7 linked regions of the Macaca fascicularis genome follow. The protein of the gene in region 2 interacts with the protein of the main gene of each other region in a pairwise test. Links are inferred from orthologs where the notes say so. Each region holds a gene or a part of one and is shown on either strand. Other genes may lie near its edges.

Region 1 (3,500 bases), on a different chromosome or scaffold from region 2:
CTTCTCTTTAAATTTAAGAACTAGTTGATAAATTTAAGATTCCTATTGTGAAGGGTAGTACCACACTTTAACATTGTTGACAGTTTATTTTCTTTGTCTTTTAGTTCATCTTGTTGATATCTGGAACATGATTGAAGCCTTCCGAGACAATGGCCTTAATACACTGGACCATACCACCGAGATCAGTGTGTCCCGCCTTGAAACTGTCATCTCCTCCATCTACTATCAGTTGAACAAGCGCCTTCCTTCTACTCACCAAATTAGTGTGGAACAATCTATCAGCCTCCTCCTCAACTTTATGATTGCTGCATATGACAGGCTAGTACCTTACCTTACATGCTTACTTCATTTTAAGAACACCTGTCTCTGAGTCATTCTTCTTGCATACTGCCTTGCTAAGGGCTGGCAACTTAGAATCACGGTTAAAAGGGAATTTATCAGCTGGATGCGGTGGCTCATGCGTGTAATCCCAGCACTTTGGGAGGCCAAGGCGGGCGGATCACAAGATTAGGAGATGGAGACCATCCTGGCCAACACGGTGAAACCCCGTCTCTACTAAAAATACAAAAAATTAGCCAGGCATGGTGGCACACGTCTATAGTCCCAGCCACTCGGGAGGCTGAGACAGGAGAATCACTTGAACCTGGGAGGCAGAGGTTGCAGTAAGCCGAGATTGCGCCACTGCACTCCAGCCTGGGCGACAGAGTAAGACTCCGTCTTAAAAACAACAACAACAACAAACAAAAAACAGGAAAATTTTTCAGTGTAAGCCCCTCTAGAAACTGGTTCACAGTGACTTACTGTCCTAGAGTATGTCGTATATTAAACTCTGGAATATTGTGGAGAATCACAATGTTTGAGATGTATTGTTTGGGAAAATTAAAGATACCTTAATACAGCTGTTCTCTAGCTCGTGAAAAATGCTAAGTTTTAAATTTGATTATGGGGCTATTTGACTTCTAAGGCTCCTCTTTCTTTTTTCTTCTATGCCTAGTTTGTTCAGAAGGCTAATCTGTACTCTGTAACATCAAATACTGGACTATAGTAACTGATTTTCTCTCTCTCTCTCTTTTTTTTTGGGACGGAGTTTCTTTCTTGTTGCCCAGGCTGAAGTGCAATGGCGTGTGAGCTCCACTCACTACTGCCTCCTGCCTTCTGGGTTCAAGAAATTCTCCTGCCTCAGCCTTCCAAGTAACTGGTATTACAGACATGCGCCACCACGCCCAGCTAATTTTGTATTTTTAGTAGAGACGGGGTTTCTCCATGTTGGTCAGGCTGATCTCGAACTCCCGACCTCTGGTGATCTGCCCACCTCGGCCTCCCAAAGTGCTGGGATTACAGGCGTGAGCCACTGCACCCGACCAAACTGATTTTCTCTTTATGTCTAGGAACCTATTTGAAATTTTTTCATTGCAGAACATAGTTTAGTAGATCTTAAAACAAAAAAAGAAAACTATTTAAATGTACTCCAATTGAAACGGACACTATTTGCTGCACTTATATTCATGGATAATTAAGTTGGTATTGTAAACAATGAAACAAAATTGTAAAGCACAGATTTTTGATTGTGGAAGTACAGAGGTTAAATGGTGATGTTCTGCGAACCAAGAGTTCTAGTTTCTGCTATACTCTTGGCCATCTGATTTGAATGGATTGTCTCTGCTTCATTTTTTGCTGTCTGTAGACCTTCTTTGAGTTCATACATTTGTAAAATGCTATTAATTATATCTTATAATAGGGAGGAGTCTGTTAATTAGTGGTAAAACTATGGAAATGTCAAAGCCAAATCAGAATTTAAGCAGTCACTAAATTCACACCATTTTTATAAGCTGTTATCAAATTAGACATTGTATCCTTTTAATAGAAAATTATTAAAGAAATTTACTTATTTTTTTGAGATGGGGTCTTGCTATGTTTCCCAGTCTGGTCTCAAGCTAGTGGGCTCAAATAGTCTTCCCTCCCCAGCCTCTCTAGTAGCTGGCATTACAGGTGTGCACCACTGTGCCCGGCAGAAATCTGAATTTTAAAAATAAGAGTGTATAAGTGATGTTAGTCCCAGAATTCTAATGCCATTTTTTAGTAATTTAAGTTAGTGACTCTATAAGTTAATTTTTTCTTGCCCAAGAACTGGCTTTTTGTTTCCAAACCCTTAGGAAACATTGTTATTCTGTGATAGGTAAGCAGCACCTTTTCATGACACTGACTCACTCAATAAATCAATTCATGGATCACACAACACAAATTAACTGAATAAACAATATTTTTTAAAGTCAGAAATAAAAACCATCTTACTCTCTAAAAATGGTCAAGCAGAGATTAAAATCTTGGATTCCGTAATTATGTCAAGTAAGTTAAATACAATGGCTCTTTAGCCTACTGGGTTGCTCTAACAAAACGCCATAAACTGGGCACTCTATCAACAACACGATTTATTTCTTACAGTTCTGGAGGCTGGGAAGTTCAAGATCAAGGTAGATTCTGTGTGTGGGGAGGGCTTGCTTTCTGGATCCTAGATGGCACCTTTTTGCGGTATCCTCACATGACAAAGGGGGCAAAGAGTTCTCTGGAACCTCTTTTATAAGGGCACTAATCCCGTTCATGAGGACACCCTCATGACCTAATCATCTTCAGAAGGTCCCACCTTCTAATACCGTACCTTGGGGGTGAGGATTTTAATGTGTGAATTTTGGGGGAATACAGACATTCAGGTTATAGCATATGGCTAAAGAGGGGAGAGGAAGGAAGAGGACAGAGATGGCAAAAAGGAGAATGGGAAGACCAAACTTAGAAGCAGAAGGTATAAGGATATCCTGGGCCATATTCAGAGAAGGATAGACACATACAGAGAGACAATGAGAATAAGTGGACAGTGAATCAGATGAAGGCAGATGTGTAGAAACACATACCGCAAATAGCTAGCAAAAAAAAAAAAAAAAAAGTTAAGAAGAGTAAGGGGTATAGTATGTTATTAGTGAGTTGGGTAATTTTTACTTTGATACGTTTAAAACATTAACCATGGTATCAGAATAAATGATCACATCTTTACTACCTTTGAAACCTTTATATGATAGAGCTTATTTGACTATCTAGAAGTTTAAAATTGACCTTCTTGTCTTGGAAGAAAAGAAAGAATCTGGTTATTAGAATGTTAATTTTGAAAACCAGGGCATTTTGTCATTAAATACTTCAAATGTTAGTCTTTTTATTGATTGGCTGCTTTATTACTTAGGCTGGAGAGTTCCTTTTATACATAGACAACCTATTTATTTATTTTAATTGAGCCTTCCAGCCTTTGTATTTCATAATTCCATAAGGTTAAAATTTGAAAGCAACAATTATTTAATCTTCTCTCATCTCCAAATTTATAGTCCCTGTGTTTGGCCAGATGATTTCTGTTTATTATAATAATAGAGTATAAGACCCTGAAACAACAGTCAGGAACAAATAGGGTCTAAGACTTTTCCTTAGTATTTTCTTAAGACCTAATTTTGTTTAATACT
Region 2 (3,500 bases):
CTACTCAGGGAGCTTGCAGACCAGGGTCGTCCACCATAAGAAAGCAAGCAGTCAAGCCAGTGCTTCCCATGTTAGTGTCACTGTGTACACTTACTAGCATTCACAATATCGCCTCCCATTATTTGGCGGATGAGGCCATTTCTCTTGCCAGAACAGTCCACGGGAGGCTGGGCACGGTGGCTCACGCCTGTAATCCCAACACTCTGGGAGGCTGAGGCGGGTGGATCACTTGAGGTCAGGAGTTCAAGATCAGCCTGGGCAACATGGCGAAACCCTGTCTCTACTAAAAATACAAACATTAGCTGGGTGTGCTGGTGCGCACCTGTAGTCCCAGCTACTTGGGAGGCTGAGATGGGAGGATCCCTTGGATCCCTTGAGCCTGGGAGGTGGAGGTTCCAGTGAGCCGAGATCGTACCATTGCACTCCAGCCTGGGCAACAGAGTGAGACCCTGTCTCTCTCTCTCTCTCTTTCTCTCTCCTTCTCTCTTTTTTTGTGTGTGTGTGTATCTGTATATCTGTATACTTTTTTAGAAGAGTTAATGGGAGAGCCTAGTTTCTGTGTTTTGATATTATAGAAATGGTGCTGGGCAAAGAGCTTTGGACTGGTCTGCATGAGTGAGACATGAAGGGTGAAGCTCTCCTTGGGCATCAGCGGTCCTTTGCCAGCCTGTGGTCCTGAGAGTCATGGCGGGAGCTGAGTGGGGCAGGGTCAGTGCAGGTGCATCTGCGCTGGGAGCTGGGGAAGGGGTGCAGTGTCTCCATAGACACCCTTATATTCCTTCAACCTGCAGGTGGAGAGTGGCCAGCGGCCTGCCTAACTGGCAGGCATGGGAAGGCTAAGGGCTGGGAGCGCCAGTCTGGCCACGGGGCGGGTCTGAGCAGGGAGGAGGAGACTGTGTGGAGTTGGCTTACGTGGCAGCTCCTATCAAGGACATGCAACCCAGTCCTGAGGCCGGGAAGGCTGTGTGGGAGCCAGAGTGAAGCGGGAGTGAGAGGGAGCTGGCTGGAGGAAGGCACTGGCAGCAGGAGAGCTGGCACAAGAGGAAAGGGAGGCAGCGAGGCTGGGAGGACGCTGTGTTAGGGAGCGTGCACTGCAGCTTGAGGGCAGTGGGGTAGGAGAGAGGAGAAGGACAGGTTCCGGTTTGCACGTTAGAAAGAGTGCCTCACTACATGTAGTGTGAGGGCAAAGGAGTGATCATTCAGAAAAAAACAGGAATCGTCTCAGAAAGTAGCCAGCAGAGTGGCCGGAGCTCAGGGGAGTCTGTGGGTTCTAGGGACATTCAGGATGGCAGGACTTGATTATGGACTTCGTGATGAGAAGGTTTGGTGATGTGGGAGGGGTCCCAAGGGAGAGAAGGAAGTCAAGGAGGGCTTGAAGGGTTCTGGATTGAGCTTCCTAAATGAGAATACATCTTTGAAATACGTTCATCGTGGTCCTTCCCAAAGCCAGGGGCTGGGTGCCTCCTGGACAAGAGGCGCCTCTGAGGATTCTCTCTGAGGATTGTCTGCCTCTGTGGGATCAGAGGTTGTGAAACGCCCCCGGCTCACTGTGCTTTTGTGGTCTCTTCCTGACAGAGCACCAAGGAGGAGTGAGCCGAGGGCAGACGCGGGGGGACACCCTCCTCCATCGTGTGGCTGTGGGGGTTCCCCTTTGGCACCTCTTTCTCCAGCCCCCAGGGAAACGCTCTGAGGGTGCTCAGGGCACAGTGGTGGCCCACTGATCACAGCTGCCCAGGCTGTGGTGGCTGCTGTCTGTAGTGGCCCCAGCTGGACTCCTTGTATCATTACTTGCAGGACCAGGTGGACACGCTGACCTTCCAGAGCCAGTCTCTGCGGGACAGAGCCCGCCGCTTCGAAGAGGCCTTGAGGAGGAACACAGAGGAGCAGCTGGAGGTAGTTTTCCAGGCTTCCAGCCCCGCAGGGACCCCGCCCCAGCGAGGCCAGCGGGGCTCCCTCAGCAGTCCAGTCCCGAGACAAGGCCTCTCTGTGAATCCACTGCTGAAGTGACAGCTGGTCACGGCCTCCCCTGGATTTTTAAACAATTGCTGTCAGCACCTCTCCCCTGAGACAGACAGCAGCTGTGGGTTTCTCCAGCGACGTGTTATTTTTGCCAAATTCCGCAGCATTCCCCAGCTGGAGTCCCAGGGCTCCTGTGATAAGCATGGTCTGGAAACCCCCACCCTGGCCCGGCCACCCCTTCCAGCCCATTCTCCCGGCCCGGCCACCCCTTCCAGCCCGTTCCCCCGGCCCGGCCACCCCTTCCAGCCCGTTCTCCCGCAACTTTTTAGGCTGACGTGGGGCAGCCTTGGCTGCAGCATGCGTTAACAGGTTGAGGGGAATTTTTTCCAGAAAAGCTGGCAAAGTTCCTTCCCTCTAATGTAGGGTTGCCAAATAAAATACAGGACACCCAGTTAAATTTGAATTACAGATAAATTTTTGAGTGTAAGTCTGTCCCATGCAATACTTATACTGAATTTTTTAAAATGTCATTTATCTGAATTTGGATTTAACAGGACCTACTGTATTTTAATTTGTTACATCCAGCAGCACTACCCCAACGTGACTTTTGTCTAAAATGGCTTTTCTGCTTCTTAAACCACTTGACTCATTTCCTATGCATGGGCTCTTTACGGGCATAGGTGAGACCTGTAAGAGTCCCAGCTACCTCGTGAATCAAGTCTTCCGGGTGAATGTTAAAAGCCAGTGTTGGGTTTACTCTTTCTACCCCATGAGCTCCCTGCTGGGCATAGGCTGGCAGCACCCAGCAGTTCTGGAGTCAGACTTTCCAGTGGACGATGGCCGTGTCTCACCTGCTCCCCCACAGAACTGGATTTTAGGAGGCTTCTCAGTGGGAAACTTTATCAGGGAAGGCTGTAGCATCCTCTCTCTTTGGTGTCGCAGTTGCCATCAGGGCACTTGTCCCAGGAGGATGGATTTAGCTGGATTCGTGGTATTGGTTAATACTGGGTTTTGTCGGGAGCCCTGGTCAACAGCTCATGGCTCTCTGCCCCTGTAGATTGCATTGGCTCCTTATCAGCACTTGGAAGAAGACATGAAGAGTCTGAAGCAGGTATTAGAGATGAAGAATCAGCAAATACATGAGCAGGAAAAGAAGATTCTCGAGCTGGAAAAGCTGGTGAGTTGGTCCATTTGCTCGCGAGAGTAACTAACCTCCATGACATTCCTGCTGTCATCACTGAGGTCATCGTTGACACTGAGGTGTTCAGCCAGGTGTGTCTGTTACCTGCCCATTGCTTACACCTATGCAGAAAATCCCACCGCGGGCCTTTCCCAGGAAGCCAGGAGCTCTCATAAGGAATCTTGGAGGTGGCCTTATCTTGTCCAACTCTGGAGCCTTTCTGATGGGTGGCCTCTTTCTGCTTTGCGCTGGTTTTCCCACAGTCCTGCTGTCTCCTTGCCCTCTCTTGGGGACGTGTGGTGACCCAGCACAATGCAGCATCCCCAGTGCCCAGGCACTGCACGGAGCACTTTCCCCGAGC
Region 3 (3,500 bases), on a different chromosome or scaffold from region 2:
TGAGCCACCATGCCTGGCCTTGGCTACTTGAATATCCTTTTTTGTGAAGTGTCCATTTAAGTAATTTGCCCATTTTTCTTTCAGACTGTCTGCCTGCCTTATTGGTTTCTAGGGATTCTTTATAAGTTCTTTAATGAGTCCTTTTTTGATACATGTATTTTGAGTATTCCATCCTTCTTGTGGTTGCCTTTTCAGTCTCTTCATGGTGTCTGTGGATGAACACATTTTATTATTTATTTTTTGGGGAGACAGTATCTCGTTGTTACCCAGGCTACCCAGGCTAGAGTTCAGGGGCATGCATGATCACGGCTCCCTGCAGCCTTGAACTCCTGGGCTCAAGCGATCCTCCTACCTCAGCCTCCTGAGTAGCTGGGACTACAGGCGTGCACCACGACAACTGGCTTAGATGTTTTAGTGTTTTTTTTTTTTTTTTTTGAGATGGAGTTTCAATCTCGTCCAGGCTCGAGTGCAGTGGCACGATCTTAGCTCACTGCAACCTCTGCCTCACGGGTTCAAGCGATTCTGCCTCAGCTACTCCCAAGTAGCTGGCATTACAGGCTTGAGCCACCACGCCTGGCTAATTTTTGTATTTTTAGTAGAGACAGGGTTTTGCTTGTCTCGAACTCCTGACCACAGGTGGTCCACCCAACTGGGCCTCTCAAAGGGCTGGGATTATAGGCCTGAGCCACTGCACCAGGCCTTTTTTCTTTTTTCTTTTTTTTTTTGAGACGGAGTCTCACTCTGTCACCCAGGCTGGAGTGCAGTGGCACGATCTCAGCTCACTGCAAGCTCTGCCTCCCAGGTTCATGCCATTCTCCTGCCTCAGCCTCCCGAGTAGCTGGGACTACCAGCGCCTGTCACCACGCCCGGCTAATTTTTGTGTTTTTAGTAGAGACGGGGTTTCACCATGTTAGCCAGGATGGTCTTGATCTCCTGACCTCGTGATCCACCTGCCTTGGCCTCCCAAAGTGCTGGGATTACAGGCGTGAGCCACCGCGCCCAGCCGCTTTTTTTCTTTTGAGACGGAGTCTCGCTCTGTTGTCCAGGCTGGCGTGCACTGTCGCCATCTTAGCTCACTGCAACCTCTGCCGCTTGGGTTCAAGCAATTCTCTTGCCTCAGCCTCCCAGCTAGCTGAGATTACAGATGCCCACCACCACGCCCTGCTAATTTTTGTATTTTTAGTAGAGATGGGGTTTTGCCATGCTGACCAGGCTGGTCTCAAACTGCTGACCTCAGGTGATCCACCTGCCTCGACCTCCCAAAGTGCTGGGATTACAGGTGTGAGGCACCGTGTCTGGCTAATTTTTGTATTTTTAGTAGAGACAGGGTTTTGCCATGTTGGCTAGGCTGGTGTCGAACTCCTGACCTCAGGTGACCCACCCACCTTGGCCTCCCAATGTGCTGGGATTACAGGCGTGAGTCACTGCGCCCGGCCCATCTCATGATCCTTAATGACATCTGCAAAGACTCTTTTTCCAAATAAGGTCACACTCTGAGGTGAGGGGAGACTGAGACATGGACATGCCTTTCTGGGATCCCCACGCAGCCTGGGGGGAGGAGGCGGGAAGGCAGATGGGAGTAGCCTCCTAAGGAGCTGTGGGGCCCATCACACACCTTTCAACATGCACACCCTCTGACCTAGAGATTCCACAACTCAGAGTACACCCCGGGGACCCGCACGGTGTACAGACAGACTCAGAGCCTGCCCCGGGGAGCCGCACGGTGTACAGACAGACTCAGAGCCTGCCCCGGGGACCCGCGCGGTGTACAGACAGACTCAGAGCCTGCCCCGGGGAGCTGTACGGTGTACAGACAGACTCAGAGCCTGCCCCGGGGACCCGCACGGTGTACAGACAGACTCAGAGCCTGCCCCGGGGAGCTGTACGGTGTACAGACAGACTCAGAGCCTGCCCCGGGGACCCGCACGGTGTAGACAGACTCAGGGCACGCCCCGGGGACCCGCACGGTGTACAGACACACTCAGAGCCTGCCCCGGGGACCCACACGGTGTACAGACACACTCAGAGCCTGCCCCGGGGACCCGCGCGGTGTACAGACACACTCAGAGCCTGCCCCGGGGACCCGCACGGTGTACAGACACACTCAAAGCATGCCCCGGGGGAGCTGCACCGTGTACAGACTCAGGGCACGCCCCGGGGACCTGCACAGTGTAGACACACGTGTTCTCTGGTCCTATAACATGCTCTATCACTTTAACAAATATGAGAAACAGAAGCTTTCTTCAGGGTCCCCGTGTCTCCCTACAGACATGGTGGAGCTGCTGCTGCTGCAGAACGCACAGGTGCACCAGTTGGTCCTGCAGAACTGGATGCTCAAGGCCCTGCCCCCAGCCCTGCAGGTAGGTTCAGCCCCTAGCAGACCCCAAAGTCAAGGAAACACAGGGTCTGAGTGGTTTTTCCTCTGGAAATTTCTGCATCTGTGTAGCTCTGAAAGGGCGTTCCTGGCTCAGGTCTGCAGTCTGGCCGTGAAGCCCCCATCCCCATCGAGTCCCAGCCAGATGAGGAATGGGTTGCACAATTTGGGACTGGGGAGGGGCCTCCTCTGGAAGGATGCTTAGACCCCTGCCATCCTGCCTATCACACGGAACCCCGCCCCAGTTAGGAACAGGGCAGGAGTGGAGGTGGGGAGCAACCTGGGCCGCATCCTGAGCTGCAGGTGTGTCTGTGGCAGGACCCGCCATGTGTGCCCCCGGGGGTCCCACGAGCTGCCAGGCCAAGGCTGCCCGTCGTGCACCACCACCACCACCACCATGCTGCGTGGCCACCTGGGGCCGCCACTGTCCTCCAGCCCGCCCCCAACCCGTGGAAGCCCGGCCCACCCTGAATGTGAGTCACAGAGACCCTGGCCGGGGCACCCTCCACCCCCAGGCTTCCTCAGGGCTGTGGGCTGTGGCAGGTCCATGGAAAGGAGCAGGGGGAGACCCTGCTGCCCCCTAGAGTGGCCACGTGAGTGTGGACCGCAGGCCCCTCCGGGGGAAGCTGGGCAGGCTCGCTTTCTGGCCACAGGGCCATTCCAGGGGGCATCCCTTGCTCTGGGACCCCTGCAGTGAGGGGCCTGTGAACCCGCGCAGGGCAGCAGCCCCTCCCAGGGACCCTTCCTTTCCTGTAGTGTGGCGCCGGCCCACCTGGGAGCCTCAGGTCCCCCTCTTCCATCACGGAGGTAAAGTTGAGGCCGTGGACACTACCAGACTGATGATCCTGAAATAAAGATTTCATCCGGAAAGAGTTTAAGAAAACCTCAGCTCAGAAGCCAGAATCGGGAAGATCAATAGCTTTAGCCACATGGAATGTAAACATCCTGATGGGAAAAATACCACAAAGTCAAATTTAGTAACTAGGGACACCCGTTTATCACAGCTGTGGAGCAGACTCCCACTAAAGAAGTAGCGGTGCATGGTTCAATGCCTGTAGTCCCAGCATTTCAGAGGCTGAGGCAGGAGGATCACTTGAGCTCAGGAATTCAAGACCAGCCTGGGTCA
Region 4 (3,500 bases), on a different chromosome or scaffold from region 2:
GAAATAAACACCCTGGAGTTAAACAAAGCTAAGTCATCCATCTGCAAGGTACGCAGTGGGCTTAGCCAGGAAGAAAGACCTTTTGATTTGTCAAAGCAATTTTAAACTACTGCCATTTATCCCGGCTAGAGGTTGAAAAGGCCAAGGGGAAGCTTTTAAACATATGATAACATCACATAGTTGGGGACATATGGTATTTGCAGACTGAATGAATGCTAGATGGGGTTTGCTGTGTTCTGGGCCACCCTGGGTGCAGAATAAAGAACAGCCCTCTTTTCCTGACTTTACCACTAATTTGCTGTCACTGGGAAAAGTAACGGAAGCTCTTTTGGCTTCTAGTTTTTCATGTATAAAATAAGGAGACTGGAAAAGATGCTTTTTCAGTTTCTGTCAAGCTTCTGAAGCCCCATGATTCTTAAAGGGCTCACAAAGTAGATAGAGGATCTTGGCTGAAATGATCATTTCTTTGAAAAAAGCTAAGTAAAAAAATTGTTTTATTTCCAGCTTATGAACCCATTCATTATTTTTTTTTTAATGAACAAACTGTCCAAGTTTTTCAGGTACAGTAAAAATTAATAAGGAAGTAGAAGGGTCAAATGAGAATCAGTCACATAAGAGATTTTGTTAAAAGCTTTCATTATATCAATTCAGCAGCCATTAAATTGTTAGTATATTCTTAGTTTTAGGTATGTTAGTCTTATCGCCTCAACTGTCAGGTTGAATCATGAAATTGCCATTTTTGAGGGTTAAAACAGTCGGTTTTTGTTAGTTTCCAGAGTTCAACCTATAGATGTGATCTCCCTGAAAGCAAGGTATAATATTGTGTATCTTCCTCTCATTCCCTTTAGTTTTTTTTTTTTTTTTGAGACAGAGTCTAGCTTTGTGGCCCAGGCTGGAGTGCAGTGGTACGATCTCAGCTCACTGCAAGCTCCACCTCCCGGGTTCACGCCATTCTCCTGCCTCAGCCTCCCCAGTAGCTGGGACTATAGTCATCCACCACCACGCCCGGCTAATTTTTGTTTTGTATTTTTAGTAGAGACAGGGTTTCACCATGTTAGCCAGGATGGTCTCGATCTCCTGACCTCGTGATCCACCCACCTCAGCCTCCCAAAGTGCTGGGATTACAGGCGTAAGCCACCGTGCCCAGCTCCCTTTAGTTCTTGATATAATGCTTAGGCACCTTTGTTTCTTTGACAAATATACATTGAAAGCAGTATTTTGAGGCAGAAGGCCTTTTGGAAATCACTTATATTACTTTATTTTGTTAATTTTTTAGACAGGGTCTTGCTCTGTTACCCAGGCTAGAGTGTAGTAACACAATCTCGGCTCACTGCAGCCTCACCCTCCAGGCTCAAGCAGTCTTATTCCTCAGCCTCCCAGGTAGCTGGGACTACAGGCACATGCCACCATGCCTAGCTAGTTTTTTGTATTTTTTCATAGAGACAGGGTTTAGCCATGTTGCCCAGGCTGGTCTTAAACTCCTGGGCTCAAGCAATCCTCCTGGCTTGGACTTCCAAAATGCTGGGATTACAGGTGTTAGCCACAGCTTCTGGCCTATATTATTTTATTTATTTATTTATTTATTTATTTTATTTTATTTTTATTTTTTTTTTTGAGACAGAGTCTCGCTCTGTCGCCCAGGCTGGAGTGCAGTGGCCGCATCTCAGCTCACTGCAAGCTCCGCCTCCCGGGTCTACGCCATTCTTCTGCCTCAGCCTCCCGAGTAGCTGGGACTACAGGCGCCCGCCACCTCACCCGGCTAGTTTTTGTATTTTTTTAGTAGAGACGGGATTTCACCGTATTAGCCAGGCTGGTCTCGATCTCCTGACCTTGTGATCCGCCCATCTCAGCCTCCCAAAGTGCTGGGATTACAGGCTTGAGCCACCGCGCCCGGCCGCCTATATTATTTTAAAGATGAGGAAAATAAGGCTCAAAAATGTCTCGAAGTTGCAGTTCTTTTTGATGTTCAGAATGACACTAACACATTGTAAACAAAAAGTCCTGAACATATTTTGGATATTCTACCTACCAGTAAAAGAAACTGATCTGGGCCAGACGTGGTAGCTCATGCCTGTAATCCCAGCACTTTGGGAGGCTGAGGCGGGTGGTTCACAATGTCCAGAGATCGAGACCATCCTGGCTAACCAACATGGTGAAACCCCATCTCTACTAAAAATACAAAAATTAGCTGGGCGTAGTGATGCACGCCTGTAGTCCCAGCTACTCAGGGAGGCTGAGGCAGGAGAATCGCTTGAACCCGGGAGGTGGAGGTTGCAGTGAGCTGAGATCGCGCCACTGCACTCCAGCCCTGGTGACAGAGCGAGACTCCGTCTCAAAAAAAAAAAAAAAAATCTGATACATTTTGTATGGACAGTTCTTAACAAAGTTGGGAATAGAGGTGATTCTCAAGTTTTAAAAACCTGAAGGCCCTATTTTTTTGTCATTCTTGTTGACTGAGGTATTGACACTTTTGGAAAAAAAAATATGTTTAAGTAGTTAATGCTAGTAAGAAAAACTTAATCTAAGGGAAGGTAGTAACAATAATACCAGACTATAAACATGATGTGAATCTGCACTGTAATCCCCAAATGCATTACTTTCCTGTATTTGATAAGTTTCATTTCTCAGTAAACAACTTCCAATTGTAGGTTTAGTTACTGTTTGTAGAAAGGTGTCATGACTTAGCCATATTAGAAATAGAGAAGTGTAAAGATGTTCATGGGCCATACTCTTGACTGAAGCCTTACACACTGCAGACTCTTCCATGTTTTCTGTAACATCTCTCTGCCATTTTAATGGTAAAATAATCATATTTTAGAGCATCTGATTTAATATTTGTCAATAACAGTTTATACTGAAACTTAGAAAACCACAAAGAATGTAGTCCAACACACTGTCTTTACAAATGAGGAAACTGAGGCCCAGAGCAACTTTAAATTACTTAGAGTTAAAATTAGAGCAAATTGGGACTTGGCATCCAGTATATTATAATGTCTAATGTGCCATTTGCTCTCGTTCTAGTTACAAAAACATTTGCCTCATATCCAAAACAGTCAAAATGGAGCGAAGATTAAGTAAATAATGTTTTGATCATGGTGCTTGGAGTGAAGTAGACGGAAGACTTATGACACGATTACGTGTTGTTTGGAAATATTCAGAAAGTATGTTCATAGTTGATCCTTTAGGCAGTCAGTGATTTGTTGACTGGGCAAGTCTGTCACACTTTTACATATTTGCCAGTTTCCAAACACTTGGAAGAAGCGTCAAGTAAAACTTCAAAACAAAGGCCTGTTGGATACACAGCCTAAGACTTACGGTTTTTTGCTTACTTTTTTCTGGTAGAAACATGAGTTCTGCTGGCCCTGATGGGAGAAAAGCAATGAGAAGATGTGACGGACTCATTGACTCACTGGTCCATTATGTCAGAGGAACCATTGCAGATTACCAGCCAGATGACAAGGTGATTCAAGAGATAACTATCCTGTTCTGTCTTACTAAGA
Region 5 (4,217 bases), on a different chromosome or scaffold from region 2:
TACTAACTTGTTATAACGTGTCTGAACAAGATCTAGTGTGAGGCACTAAGAAGGATTAGACATCAATTTGAAAAGAGTCCCATGGGAGCAACACGAATTCTGCTAAAATGGAAGCAACAATGAACACCAAATTCAAGGTGAAGCTTGGGTGGAAGAAGGGTGAAATCACCAATGCTTTATGAAAGAAAAGTATATGGGGACAATGCTCCAAAGAAACCAGCTGTTTACAAATGGATAACTCATTTTAAGGGACAAGGCCAGGCACAGTGGCTCATGCCTATAATCCCAAAGACTTGGGAGGCAAGGCAGGAGAACTGTTTGGAGGCCAAGAGTTCGAGACTAGCTTAGGCAAGATGGTGAAACCCCATCTCTACACAAAATTAAAAAAAAAAAAATTAGCTGGGCACGGTGGCATGCACCTGTAGTCCCAGCTACTCGAGAGGTTAGGGTGGGAGGATCACTTGAGCCCAGGAGTTAGAGGTTGCAGTGAGCTATGATCGTACCACTACACTCTAGCCTGAGAGACAAAAAACGAGACTGTCATTTAAAAAAAAAAGACTACGGCCCGGTGCAATGGCTCAAGTCTGTAATCCCAGGACTTGGGGAGGCCGAGGTGGGCAGATCACTTGAAGACAGGAGTTCAAGACCAGCCTGACCAATATGACAAAACCTCGTCTCTACTAAAAATACAAAAATTAGCTGGGCGTGGTGGCACACGTCTGTAATTGGGAGGCTGAGGCAAAAGAATCGCTTGAACCCGGGAGGTGGAGGTTGCCACGAGCCGAGATCGCGCCTCTGCACTCTAGCCTGGGCAACAGAGTGAGATCCTGTCTAAAAAAAAAAAAAAAAAAAGAAAAGCCCTAGTAAGTATACAAAGCGACAAAATGTAATACTCAAGGGCACATATGTTCGGCCAGGCGAGGTGGCTCATGCCTGTAATCCCAGCACTTTGGGAGGCCGAGGCAGGAGGATCATGAGGTCAGAAGATCGAGACCATCCTGGCTAACACGGTGAAACTCCATCTCTACTAAAAATACAAAAAATTAGCTGGGCATGGTGGCGGGCGCCTGTAGTCCCAGCTACTTGGGAGGCTGAGGCAGGAGAATGGCGTGAACCCGGGAGGTGGAGCTTGCAGTGAGCCGAGATCCTGCCATTGCACTCCAGCCTGGGCGCCTGGGTGACAGTGCGAGACTCCGTCTCAAAAAAAAAAATGTTCAAATGCCCCATGGAAGAAGGGAGGAGTATGAAAAATACCAGAAATCTAAATGTAAAAAAAAATGTGGGGGTGACTGGAGAGTAGGCTGAGAGTATGCTGTGGATGGGAATGGTGGCAGGAACGTATGCTGAGTGGAAGTGAACAGCCCAGGCAAAAAAAAAAAAAAAAAAAAGATGGTGCCAGTATGGATGGAAAGAAGCCGGTGGGCTTGGTAGATCTACGCGGAGGTACAATACACTTCGCTTGGTGAGGAACTGGACGCCCAGGTGATGGACAATGTAGGAGGAATGATTTCTCAATCTCTGGTTAGCACTGAATTGAACAGATAATGGTACCATTCGTGGAGATAGGGATCAAGAGGCCCAGACTTAGAAAGATAACGAATTTGCTTTGGGATATGTATATTGAACTTAAAAGCCTCTGAAGCATGGAATAAGCAGATAGATTATAGAAGTTTGTCTTTTAGAGTAAAGGTGGCTCAATACAAAGAAATTTGTCACGCCTGTAATCCCAGCATTTTGGGAGGCCGAGGCGGGCGACACAATGGAGGTCTGGAGTTCGAGATCAGCCCGGCCAACATGATGAAACCCTGTCTCTAATAAAAACACAAAAAAGTAGCCAAGTGTGGTGGCGCACACATGTAGTCCCAGCTACTCGGGAGACTGAGGCAGGAGAATCGCTTGAACCCGGGAGACGGAGGTTGCAGTGAGCCGAGATCGCGCCACTGCACTCCAGCCTGGGCGACACAGTGTGACACTCACACAGTGAGTGTCGCCCAGGCTGGAAGAAAAAAAAAAAAAAGAAATTGCCTTTGGGAGTCAAGAGGGCCTAGAGGGAGCCTTGAGTCAACAAAAATTTACAAAGAGGGGCCTGCAAATAAGACGGGGATAGACCCGCCAAGCTGAGCCACTAAAACCCAAGGAAGAGGGCGTGAGCAGAAGAAGCAGGGCTCAAAAGCAAACGCTGCTGAGAACTCAGGTAAGCTGAAAACGGAAAAGGGCTGGATTTAGCAACTTGGAGGACACTGGTCCCTTGAGCCAGGGTTTTCTACAGCGATCAAGGGGATGCCTGGAGTGGGTTAAAGAGTTGATGAGAGGCGAGGAAAGGAAGTGGCTGAAACCAGACAAGAAGTTTGGCTGCGGGGCAGGAAAGGAGAAGAAACAGAAAGTGGCCGCAGGTGGAAGATCCAGAAAAAGGCAAGCGTTTATTTACTTTGTTCTTAAGTAGGAAAAACGTGAGCATGTTTCAAAGACGATCAGAAGAATGCTTTGAGGAGGGGGTGATGACACTAGACGGGGGCTCGGCGGGTCCCCACCGCCCCCCGCCTTCTCCTCCCCTCGCGTTCATCCCCCGTCGCCCCGGGCTCCCCTCCCCCTCTCCACTCCGCGAGGCTCGGGGCCGCAGCCATCCCGCACCGCCGGCCCGGCCCCCGGCACCTCCTCACCGCAATGGCCCCCTCGCTCAGTTGGCCGACCATGGCTCCGCCGCCCCGACTCCCGCGCGGACCCCGCGACAGCTGGAGCTTCCCCACCGGGGTCCCGCGCGCTGCGCAGTTATTGGCCCGAGAAGCTGCGTGCGCCGCTCCCGCCCCCGACGTGCGCGCGTCCCAGGGGCGGGCCCGGGCGCTGCGCAGCCGCCACATTGGCCGAGGCGCGGCGCACGTGACTTGCTCGCGGGCCCAAGGGAGGCCTGGCGCGGAACACGGGGCGCGGGGCGGGGCGCCGAGGGGCGCGCCAGGAGCTGCGCGGGCGCGGGGAGGGAGTCCGCGGCCCAGTTCCGGGCGCCTGTGAGCGGGCTCACGAGGCTTTCTCGCCTCGGTTTCCGGCCAGTGCACGGGTTGGTAGCCCAGAGGAGGTTAAAGCTGTTCCCTGAGACCTCAGCTGCTAAATGGAGTCGCAGCAGTGACCCGGTTCCTCCAGCAACGCGGGGCTGACTTCTCGACCGGGGCCAAACCCTGAGCTTGGCACCGTTGAGGGGGGGGTCTCCGAAGGGGAATCAGACCTGGTCCCTGTCCGTGGAGAAGAGGACAGTGTGTGGGGGCACTTTATGCCGTGAGTAGCCCCAGCGCCAGGTAGACGTGGTACAGGCCCCAAGAGTGTTGGAAATCAGGGAAGCCTTCCCAGAGGACGTGCCGTTTGAACCGAGTCGAAGAACGAACCTGTGGGAATTTTCCAGGTGGACTCCATAAGCCAGGGTAGGATTGGTCCGGAAAGCACGAATAGCCTCTGCCAAAACCTTGGAGAGATGAAATAGCCTGGCAAGCCGGGGATCGCAATGAGTAGTTCAGTATGCAAGGCTGCAGAGGAACAAGTGAGACCTGAGAATTAGAAAGTCAGCCAAGGGTCAAGTAAGGACGGTTTTGTCCTGGGCTTCCTGATATGCTTGGAGTAGCGTTGATGAATTTAAGGCAGAGCACTGACTTCTGTCTCAGTGTTGGAGGCTGGATTGAAAGTTGCGGGGGGGTGCCAATGGCATGGACACTAATTATGACACTCTAGGAAGAATGCCAGACGAGATGGTGAGGACTTAAACCGAAGGAATGACCTGGGGGTTGAAAGAGAACGCTGAACTATATGAGAGAGAGAAATACCTGTTAATTGAATAGTTGCTGGGGTGGGTGAGAAAGAAAAATCTGGGGAAGTGTCTCAGGTTTCAGACTTGAGAAACTAGGGGGATCAGGCCGGGCGCGGTGGCTCACACTTGTAATCCCAGCGCTTTGGGAGACCCAGGCTGGAGGATCACCTGAGGTCAGGAGTTCGAGACCAGCCTGGTCAACATGGTGAAACCCCCATCTCTACTAAAACTACAAGAATTAGCCAAGAGTAGTGGCGCACTCCGTAATCCCAGCTACTCCGAGGCTGAGGCAGGAGAATTGTTTGAACCTGGGAGGCAGAGGGTGCAGTGAGCCGAGATCGTGCCACAGCGCTCCAGCCTGGGGGACAGAGCAAGACTGTCTCACGCACAAAAAAAAACACTAAGAGGACACGGATGATAGCTATCT
Region 6 (3,500 bases), on a different chromosome or scaffold from region 2:
CGCGTGCGAAGCCTCTTCAAGGAAGCCCGAGCCCGGGCCCCCTGCATCGTCTACATCGATGAGATTGACGCGGTGGGCAAGAAGCGCTCCACCACCATGTCCGGGTTCTCCAACACGGAGGAGGAGCAGACGCTCAACCAGCTTCTGGTAGAAATGGACGGTCAGTGCTCGTGCACCCCACACCCCCAGTGCACCATCAGAGAAGGTTTTCTGATGTCTTTCAGAACAGGTTGTGGCGAGCCAAGATCGCACCACTGCACTCCGGCCTAGGTGACAGAGTGAGACTCCGTCTCAAGAAAAAAAAAAAAGAAATACAGCTTTTAGACCCAGCACAGTGGCTCACGCCTATATAATCCCAGCACTTTGGGAGGCCAAGACAGGCAGACCACGGAGGTCCGGATTTTATGAACAGCCTGGCCAACATGCTGAAACCCCATTTCTACAAAAATACAAAAATCAGCCGGGCATGATGGCGGGTGCCTGTAATCCCCGCTGCTCTGCAGCATCGCTTGAACCCGGAAGGTGGAGGTGGCAGTGAGCCGAGATCTCACCATTGCACTCCAGCCTGGGTGAGAGAGGGAGACTCCATCTCAAAAAAAAAAAAAAAGCACAACTTTTAATTTAAAAAACGTCAAGGCAATAGTAAAAAAGATAAGTAGGAATAGAAGCGGTATGTCAGATGTAATCTTTTTATTTTTTTGAGATGGAGTCTCACTCTTGTTGCCCAGGGTGAAGTACATGTCACGATCTCGGCTCACTGCAACCTCCGCCTCCCAGGTTCAAGCGATTCTCCTGCCTCAGTCTCCCAAGTAGCTGGGATTACAGGCACGTGCCACCACACCCGGCTAATTTTTGTATTTTTAGTGGAGACGAGGTTGGCCAGGCTGGTCTTCAACTCTTGACCTGAGGCGGTCGGCCTGCCGCAGCTTCCCAAAGTGCTGAGATTACAGGCATGAGCCTCGGCACCCAGCCTTTTTTTGCATTATTACTGTTTTTTAGGGGCTTTCCAGCAAAACCCAGAAAGACCGCTAGACAGGTTCTGGAGCAGCTGGTGCCGCTTCTGTCTTTAGGTCTGTAATGGGTCGGTCTGAGTGCGCGCTCCTGTCTTTAGGTCTGTAATGGGTCGGTCAGAGTGCGCGCTCCTGTCTTTAGGTCTGTAATGGGTCGGTCAGAGTGCGCGCTCCTGTGTTTAGGTCTGTAATGGGTCGGTCAGAGTGCGCGCTCCTGTCTTTAGGTCTGTAATGGGTCGGTCTGAGTGCGCGCTCCTGTCTTTAGGTCTGTAATGGGTCGGTCAGAGTGCGCGCTCCTGTGTTTAGGTCTGTAATGGGTCGGTCAGAGTGCGCGCTCCTGTGTTTAGGTCTGTAATGGGTCGGTCTGAGTGCGCGCTCCTGTCTTTAGGTCTGTAATGGGTCGGTCTGAGTGCGCGCTCCTGTCTTTAGGTCTGTAATGGGTCGGTCTGAGTGCGCGCTCCTGTCTTTAGGTCTGTAATGGGTCGGTCTGAGTGCGCGCTCCTGTCTTTAGGTCTGTAATGGGTCGGTCTGACTGCGCGCTCCTGTCTTTAGGTCTGTAATGGGTCGGTCTGACTGCGCGCTCCTGTCTTTAGGTCTGTAATGGGTCGGTCTGAGTGCGCGCTCCTGTCTTTAGGTCTGTAATGGGTCGGTCTGACTGCGCGCTCCTGTCTTTAGGTCTGTAATGGGTCGGTCTGAGTGCGCGCTCCTGTCTTTAGGTCTGTAATGGGTCGGTCTGACTGCACGCTCCTGTCTTTAGGTCTGTAATGCGTCGGTCAGAGTGCGCGCTCCTGTGTTTAGGTCTGTAATGGGTCGGTCAGAGTGCGCGCTCCTGTCTGTAGGTCTGTAATGGGTCGGTCAGAGTGCGCGCTCCTGTCTGTAGGTCTGTAATGGGTCGGTCAGAGTGCGCGCTCCTGTCTTTAGGTCTGTAATGGGTCTGTGTGATTGTGCGCGCTCCTGTCTTTAGGTCTGTAATGCGTCGGTCAGAGTGCGCGCTCCTGTGTTTAGGTCTGTAATGGGTCGGTCAGAGTGCGCGCTCCTGTGTTTAGGTCTGTAATGGGTCGGTCTGAGTGCGCGCTCCTGTCTTTAGGTCTGTAATGGGTCTGTGTGATTGTGCCGCCACGCCTCTCCCTGTGCCCCCCGAGAAGGTGAGACTCTGGTTAGAGGGCCCAGCAGAGCATCAGCGCGCTGCACTGCGGGGAGGGAGGCGCCCCACATGTTGTGACCCCTTGAAGATGACTTCTGGTCTGGCTTTGACAATTTTTTTTTTTAAATGGAGCTGACCCAGTAAAGGTGACCTGGAACTATTTTTCTCCTGACCTACTTTTGCAAGATTATTATTATTTTTTTTTAATGTGGATATTGTTGTGGTAAAATATACAGATAGCCAAGCTTGGCGGTGGCTGTGTTCCCGGCTGTTTGGGAGGCGGAGGCAGAAGGAGTGCTGGAGCCCGAGCTCGGTGGTGTACTGTGCGATGGTCTTGCCTGTGAACAGCCTCTGCACTGCAGCCTGGATAACACAGCGAGACCCTGTCTCGACAAAACAATTAAAAAAATACATTCACATAAATTTACCATTTTAATCATTCTGAAGTTCATCGGCATTAAGTACATTCGCCTGTTGAGCAACCACCACCACCGTGTGTCTCCAGAACTTTCTCTTCAAACCAAAAACCTGGCCCCATTGAGCCCTCCCCATTGTCCATCCTCAGCCCCTTGCAGCCTGTGTCCCGCTGTCTGTCTCTGAGTGACTGTCGTAGGGACCTCATAGAACTGGAGTCCTGCGGTGTCTGTCCTTTGCTCTCCGCCTTCTTTCACGCACATAACATCTCCAGGGGCCGTCAGTGCTGGGCACGTGTCAGGATTTCCTTCCTCCTTGAGGCTGAACAATGCTGCCTGCTGTGCAGAGGCTGCCTCTTGTTTATTCGCCGTCGGTGGACACGTGGGCTGTTGTGAATTGGGCTGTGTTTACATAAGTACAAGCATCTTTTGGAAGTCTCTGCTTTGTAGGGTTTATTTTTAATCAGAATTCTAGTTACGTTTTAGGTATCGTAGATGAGGGAGACTTTTTTTCCCCGAGTGATCTGGCTCCAAGAGAACTGTTGACTTGCTGTTTTCTTTGTTGCCTGTGGCTGCTTGGAGTCGTGTGTCTTAGCGCCTGCACAGCCCAGTTCTGACCACTCAGCTAAGGGGGAACTTGCTTCACCTCTCATTGCGAAATCCCTTTAGACTTACAGAAGCGTTGCCACGGTGGTCAGAGTGCTCTTTTTTTTTTTTGAGACGGAGTCTCGCTGAGTCGCCCAGGCTGGAGTGCAGTGATGTGATCTCCACTCGCTGCAAGCTCCGCCTCCCGGGTTCACGCCGTTCGCCTGCCTCAGCCTCCCGAGTAGCTGGGCTACAGGCGCCCACCACCACGCCCGGCTAATTTTTGTATTTTCAGTAGAGCGGGGTTTCACCGTGTTAGCCAGGATGGTCTCGATCTCCCGACCTCGT
Region 7 (4,004 bases), on a different chromosome or scaffold from region 2:
TATTTAGAACACATTTAGGGTGAGTGTTGTTTAGAGCTTGACAACATTCTCATTGAAGATTATTCCATTTAAGATTCAACAGCTCAAGAGTCTGCAAATCTAGATCCTTAACCAGAACTTGCTTTTGTATTTTCCTTACAAGAGGAAGAGAACCCAGGCTGGGACTTCAAGGCCCCAGAGAGGCAGTGCAGCAGGTTCCTGGGTTCAAATCTTCCCTCAGCTACTGCTTAGCTGTGTGACCTTGGGCAAGTTACTTAGCCTTTCTATGCCCCAGTTTCTTCATCAGTAATTTGGGGCTAGTAATCTCTTCTTCATAGGTTTGTTGCAAGATTAAATTAATTTACATTAAGGGCCAGGTGTGGTGACTCACACCTGTAATCTCAGCACTTTGGGAGGCCAACGTGGGCAGATCACCTGAGGTCAGGAGTTCGAGACCAATCTGACCAACATAGCAAAACCCAGTCTCTACTAAAAATACAAAAAGAAAATCAGCTGGGAGTGATAGGGCATCTGCAGTCCCAGGTACTGGGGAGGCTGAGGCAGGAGGATCTCTTGAACCTGGGAGGTGGAGGTTGCAGTGAGCCTAGATCACACCACTGCACTCCAGCCTGGGCAACAGAGCAAGACTCCATCTACAAAAAAAAAAATTTACTTTAAGAATTAGAACAGTTTATGACTGGTACATAGTAGATCCTCAATAGACACTAAAAGTTATAATTATAATTGTTAATTATAATTATTATTATAATTATATGAGCAATTATTGGAAAGCTCTCACTCTTTCTAAAGAATTTGCATGAATCAAGGAAGACTAATTTTCTCAATGTCTTTTTAGTACACTCAGAATTTTCAGTACAGCAAATAATTTTCAGTGAAGTCAAAATTATTTAGATAAAATCTTCTCTTCATGCCCTAGCAGAAAATGTTCAGAAACAAAACGAAATAAAGAGACAAAGGAAAAAAAAAAAACTGGCAAGGGGTCAAGTTTTGAGAATTGTTTTCAAGAAGTCATTGTGTTCAGATTGGTGGAGCAGGCTACTGTAAACCGTAAGTAGGAAATGAGAACCCGTTGTGGGTTGATAAAATGGATGTCTTTTCAACTAAACAGATTGCTATCAGCCCAACAGAGCCAACTCATGTTCCTTTTTGCCTGGTCACTTCCTTTACTAAGTGTCTGTAAGAGCCGCCCATTTGGGTGTTTCTCAGGATTATAGGTTTTTAGGTCATATAGAAACCCTGGGGAACGCCTGAAAAGGCTAAACACAAGCAGTTACATTATGCACAAGCTGGATGACGTGACTCCACTGCTGCTGTGTGGAGCAGAGGCTGATGAACCCGAGCTTGTGTGAGCTTCTCTTGCGGCAAGTCCAGGGGTGGCCAGGAGCACGTGTTAGTCTGGTTAAGAGCTCTGCTCAGAAGTAGCTGCTGTAGCTGAAGGTTTTCGGGTGGGCTGAAGGCTGGGCCGCTCCTTCGTTCATTTCAGAAGTTGAACAGTGAGCCTTCTACACACGCTGTCCTTGTCATCCTCAGGCAGTTCCTCCATGGATGAGACACAGGGGCCTCTGGCCATGACTGTCCATCTTCTTGCCAACTCTGGGCACGGTTCGCTTCTGCAGAGGACTCTGGACCAGCTCCTGGATTGCATTTGCCCAGAGGTCCGGCTCTTTCAGGTGTCTGAACGGGCTAGTCCTGTGAAATACTGTGAAAAGTCCCTTTCCAAGCGGTACCGGTTTCCAGGGATGTCCGTGTTGCTTTTCCTGCACAAAAGCCTGGGAGAGGATCGGCTATTTCGCGTCCTGGACTCTCTCCAGCATTCGCCATGGCAGTGCTACCCCACCCAGGACACTTGGGGAAGGCTGTGTCCCTACCTTTTTGCCAACCAGGAGTTCTACAGCCTGGACAGCCAGATGCCCATCTGGGGGGTGAGGCAGGTGCACTGTGGCTCCGAGATCCTGAGGGTGACGCTCTACTGCAGTTTTGATAACTATGAAGACGCCATCAGACTCTATGAGATGATCCTGCAGAGAGAAGCCACCTTGCAAAAGAACAATTTTTGTTTCTTCGTGCTGTATGCCACCAAGAGCTTTGCTCTGCAGCTCTCCCTGAAGCAGCTGCCCCCGGGAATGTCAGTGGACCCTAAAGAGTCTTCGGTGCTGCAGTTTAAGGTTCGAGAGATCGGCCAGTTAGTGCCTCTGCTACCCAATCCATGCATTCCCATCAGCAGCACGAGGTGGCAGACTCAGGATTACGATGGCAACAAGATTCTGCTTCAGGTATTCCTGTTTCATCTTAGATCTTGTAGAGGCTCATGGAGCTGTGTAATTTTACATTGGAATGGGCCTAAGCTAGTGGTTCTCAGACTTGGTTGCACATTAGAGTCCCTCAGGGGCTTTTTAAAATTCCCACCCCAGGCCAGTTTGATCCAAATCTCTGGGAGCATCCAAGCCTGGGTAACTTTTTTTACAGCTTCTTGGATGACTCTAATCTGTAACAGGGTTGAGAATCACTAATCTCATAAAATCTCATCCGACAGATAAGAAAGTTCAGATTCCATGAATTCGCAGCTGACACAGGTACTTTATAGTAGAATCAGACAGGATTCTACTATAAAGATCAGAATCTTTACAAAGAATCAGCCTCCTTTCTCAGGCTTGCTGTTTAAATGCCTGTTAACTATACCCATATCCTTTGCTTACTCTTTGGGCTCGAGAATGTCATAAGCTCTTCTCATCTGACCGAAGGAAGTTGAAGTCATACTTATGCTTACAGACTTTTTTTTAATTTTTAATTTTTTTATTTTTTAGAGATGGGAGTCTTCCTCTGTTGCCCAGACTGGAGTGCAGTGGTGCCGTCATAGCTCCCTGAGGTCTCCACCTTCTGGGTTCAAATGATCCTCCTGTCTTAGCCTCCTGATTAGCTGGGACTACAGGCACGTGCCGCCATATCTGGCTATTTTATTTTATTTCTAGAGACGGGATCTTACTATGTTGGCCGAGCTTGTTTAAGGATGTTAAGTTTGCAGTGCTATTGACTTAATTTTTATTTTTTATTATTATACTTGAAGTTCTGGGGTAAATGTGTGCAACGCAGGTTTGTTACATAGGTATACATGTGCCATGTTGGTTTGCTATACCCATCAACTCGTATTGACTTAATTTTTAAGCATCTTGCATCACTGTCAAATTTTACCACATACCAAGTTAGACAGAATGCTTTCTTTAAAAAATCTTGAAATTAAAGCCTTCCTTTGTAACCATCCTTGAAAACCTAACATAGCAAGTGTGTATTTAGTCACGATAGCCGCCATGCATTGCCTTTCATGGTATGTGAGCCTGGGCGCTTAGTAGCTGTATGACTGTGGTCCTCAGTTTCTTCATTAGCACAATAAAGGCACCAGATAATTTGCATCTTCCTCTCTCATTTACAGTAAATGACCTGACACTCACAAAGTACATAATTAAGATAGTGCCAATAACTCAATTTTAGCTACTATTGTTCACATTATGCCCTATACTAAGGATTTTAAATTGATAATTTTATTTAATGCTTATAACAACCTACGAAGTTACTATTTTTCCCATTTTGGAGATAAGAAAACTGAACTCTCCAGGGGGTCAGTTATTTGCCCAAGACAGGAAGTATCTATCCACCCTGAAAGTTCATGTGGTCAGCTGCTGCAGTCCAGTGTATGTGTGTAAATGTGCATACAGGGGGATGAATGTGATGTTCACAGCAAAATATCCTGTGGCTTCTGTCATTAAGAAATGGTCAGAAGCTCCTTAAGGCCTACTGGATAAAGTAATAAGAGACTACAAGATGAGATGTCTTTCCATTTGGTTAATTTTGTTGTCATCACTTTGACTTGTTAATAAAATATGAATCATACTGATTCTACATTAAATGATTTCTAAATTATTCACCTTCTTGTTCACATAAGGTAGATAGGCACTGTTTCTGTTAGTTGCCTATTATAAAACCCCATAATTTCCAAGGCACCTAAAATT

The links.
Region 1: the proteins of MTUS2 (region 2) and DTNB interact in binary tests that used the Homo sapiens proteins (3 or more experiments, as listed by UniProt). The two-hybrid records come from large-scale screens. The link is inferred for Macaca fascicularis from reciprocal best matches to the Homo sapiens genes MTUS2 and DTNB.
Region 3: the proteins of MTUS2 (region 2) and C3H21orf58 interact in a two-hybrid assay, tested with the Homo sapiens proteins (3 studies listed by BioGRID and IntAct). The two-hybrid records come from large-scale screens. The link is inferred for Macaca fascicularis from reciprocal best matches to the Homo sapiens genes MTUS2 and C21orf58.
Region 4: the proteins of MTUS2 (region 2) and PKP2 interact in binary tests that used the Homo sapiens proteins (3 or more experiments, as listed by UniProt). The two-hybrid records come from large-scale screens. The link is inferred for Macaca fascicularis from reciprocal best matches to the Homo sapiens genes MTUS2 and PKP2.
Region 5: the proteins of MTUS2 (region 2) and RPA1 interact in binary tests that used the Homo sapiens proteins (3 or more experiments, as listed by UniProt). The two-hybrid records come from large-scale screens. The link is inferred for Macaca fascicularis from reciprocal best matches to the Homo sapiens genes MTUS2 and RPA1.
Region 6: the proteins of MTUS2 (region 2) and SPG7 interact in binary tests that used the Homo sapiens proteins (3 or more experiments, as listed by UniProt). The two-hybrid records come from large-scale screens. The link is inferred for Macaca fascicularis from reciprocal best matches to the Homo sapiens genes MTUS2 and SPG7.
Region 7: the proteins of MTUS2 (region 2) and FAM124B interact in binary tests that used the Homo sapiens proteins (3 or more experiments, as listed by UniProt). The link is inferred for Macaca fascicularis from reciprocal best matches to the Homo sapiens genes MTUS2 and FAM124B.

What each region holds. Positions count from the first base shown.
Region 1 is NC_088387.1:96,619,695-96,623,194, forward strand, and holds part of DTNB (dystrobrevin beta), read left to right. Parts: intron 1-104; coding exon 105-318; intron 319-3,500.
Region 2 is NC_088391.1:9,331,526-9,335,025, forward strand, and holds part of MTUS2 (microtubule-associated tumor suppressor candidate 2), read left to right. Parts: intron 1-1,794; coding exon 1,795-1,893; intron 1,894-3,016; coding exon 3,017-3,136; intron 3,137-3,500. UniProt on the Homo sapiens protein: Binds microtubules. Together with MAPRE1 may target the microtubule depolymerase KIF2C to the plus-end of microtubules. May regulate the dynamics of microtubules at their growing distal tip.
Region 3 is NC_088377.1:814,580-818,079, forward strand, and holds the end of C3H21orf58 (uncharacterized protein C21orf58 homolog), read left to right. Parts: intron 1-2,268; coding exon 2,269-2,360; intron 2,361-2,692; coding exon 2,693-2,845; 3' UTR 2,846-2,847; exon of another isoform or gene 2,848-2,986; intron 2,987-3,130; 3' UTR 3,131-3,455; downstream 3,456-3,500.
Region 4 is NC_088385.1:35,430,859-35,434,358, reverse strand, and holds part of PKP2 (plakophilin-2), read left to right. Parts: intron 1-3,342; coding exon 3,343-3,460; intron 3,461-3,500. UniProt on the Homo sapiens protein: A component of desmosome cell-cell junctions which are required for positive regulation of cellular adhesion.
Region 5 is NC_088390.1:1,945,412-1,949,628, reverse strand, and holds the start of RPA1 (replication protein A 70 kDa DNA-binding subunit), read right to left. Parts: upstream 2,801-4,217; 5' UTR 2,694-2,800; coding exon 2,661-2,693; exon of another isoform or gene 2,653-2,660; intron 1-2,652. Other genes in the region: SMYD4 (SET and MYND domain-containing protein 4), read left to right, coding at 3,690-3,734. UniProt on the Homo sapiens protein: As part of the heterotrimeric replication protein A complex (RPA/RP-A), binds and stabilizes single-stranded DNA intermediates that form during DNA replication or upon DNA stress.
Region 6 is NC_088394.1:85,469,362-85,472,861, forward strand, and holds part of SPG7 (mitochondrial inner membrane m-AAA protease component paraplegin), read left to right. Parts: coding exon 1-160; intron 161-3,500. UniProt on the Homo sapiens protein: Catalytic component of the m-AAA protease, a protease that plays a key role in proteostasis of inner mitochondrial membrane proteins, and which is essential for axonal and neuron development.
Region 7 is NC_088386.1:120,349,930-120,353,933, reverse strand, and holds the start of FAM124B (protein FAM124B), read left to right. Parts: upstream 1-1,204; 5' UTR 1,205-1,541; coding exon 1,542-2,273; intron 2,274-2,804; coding exon of another isoform or gene 2,805-2,891; exon of another isoform or gene 2,892-2,985; intron 2,986-4,004.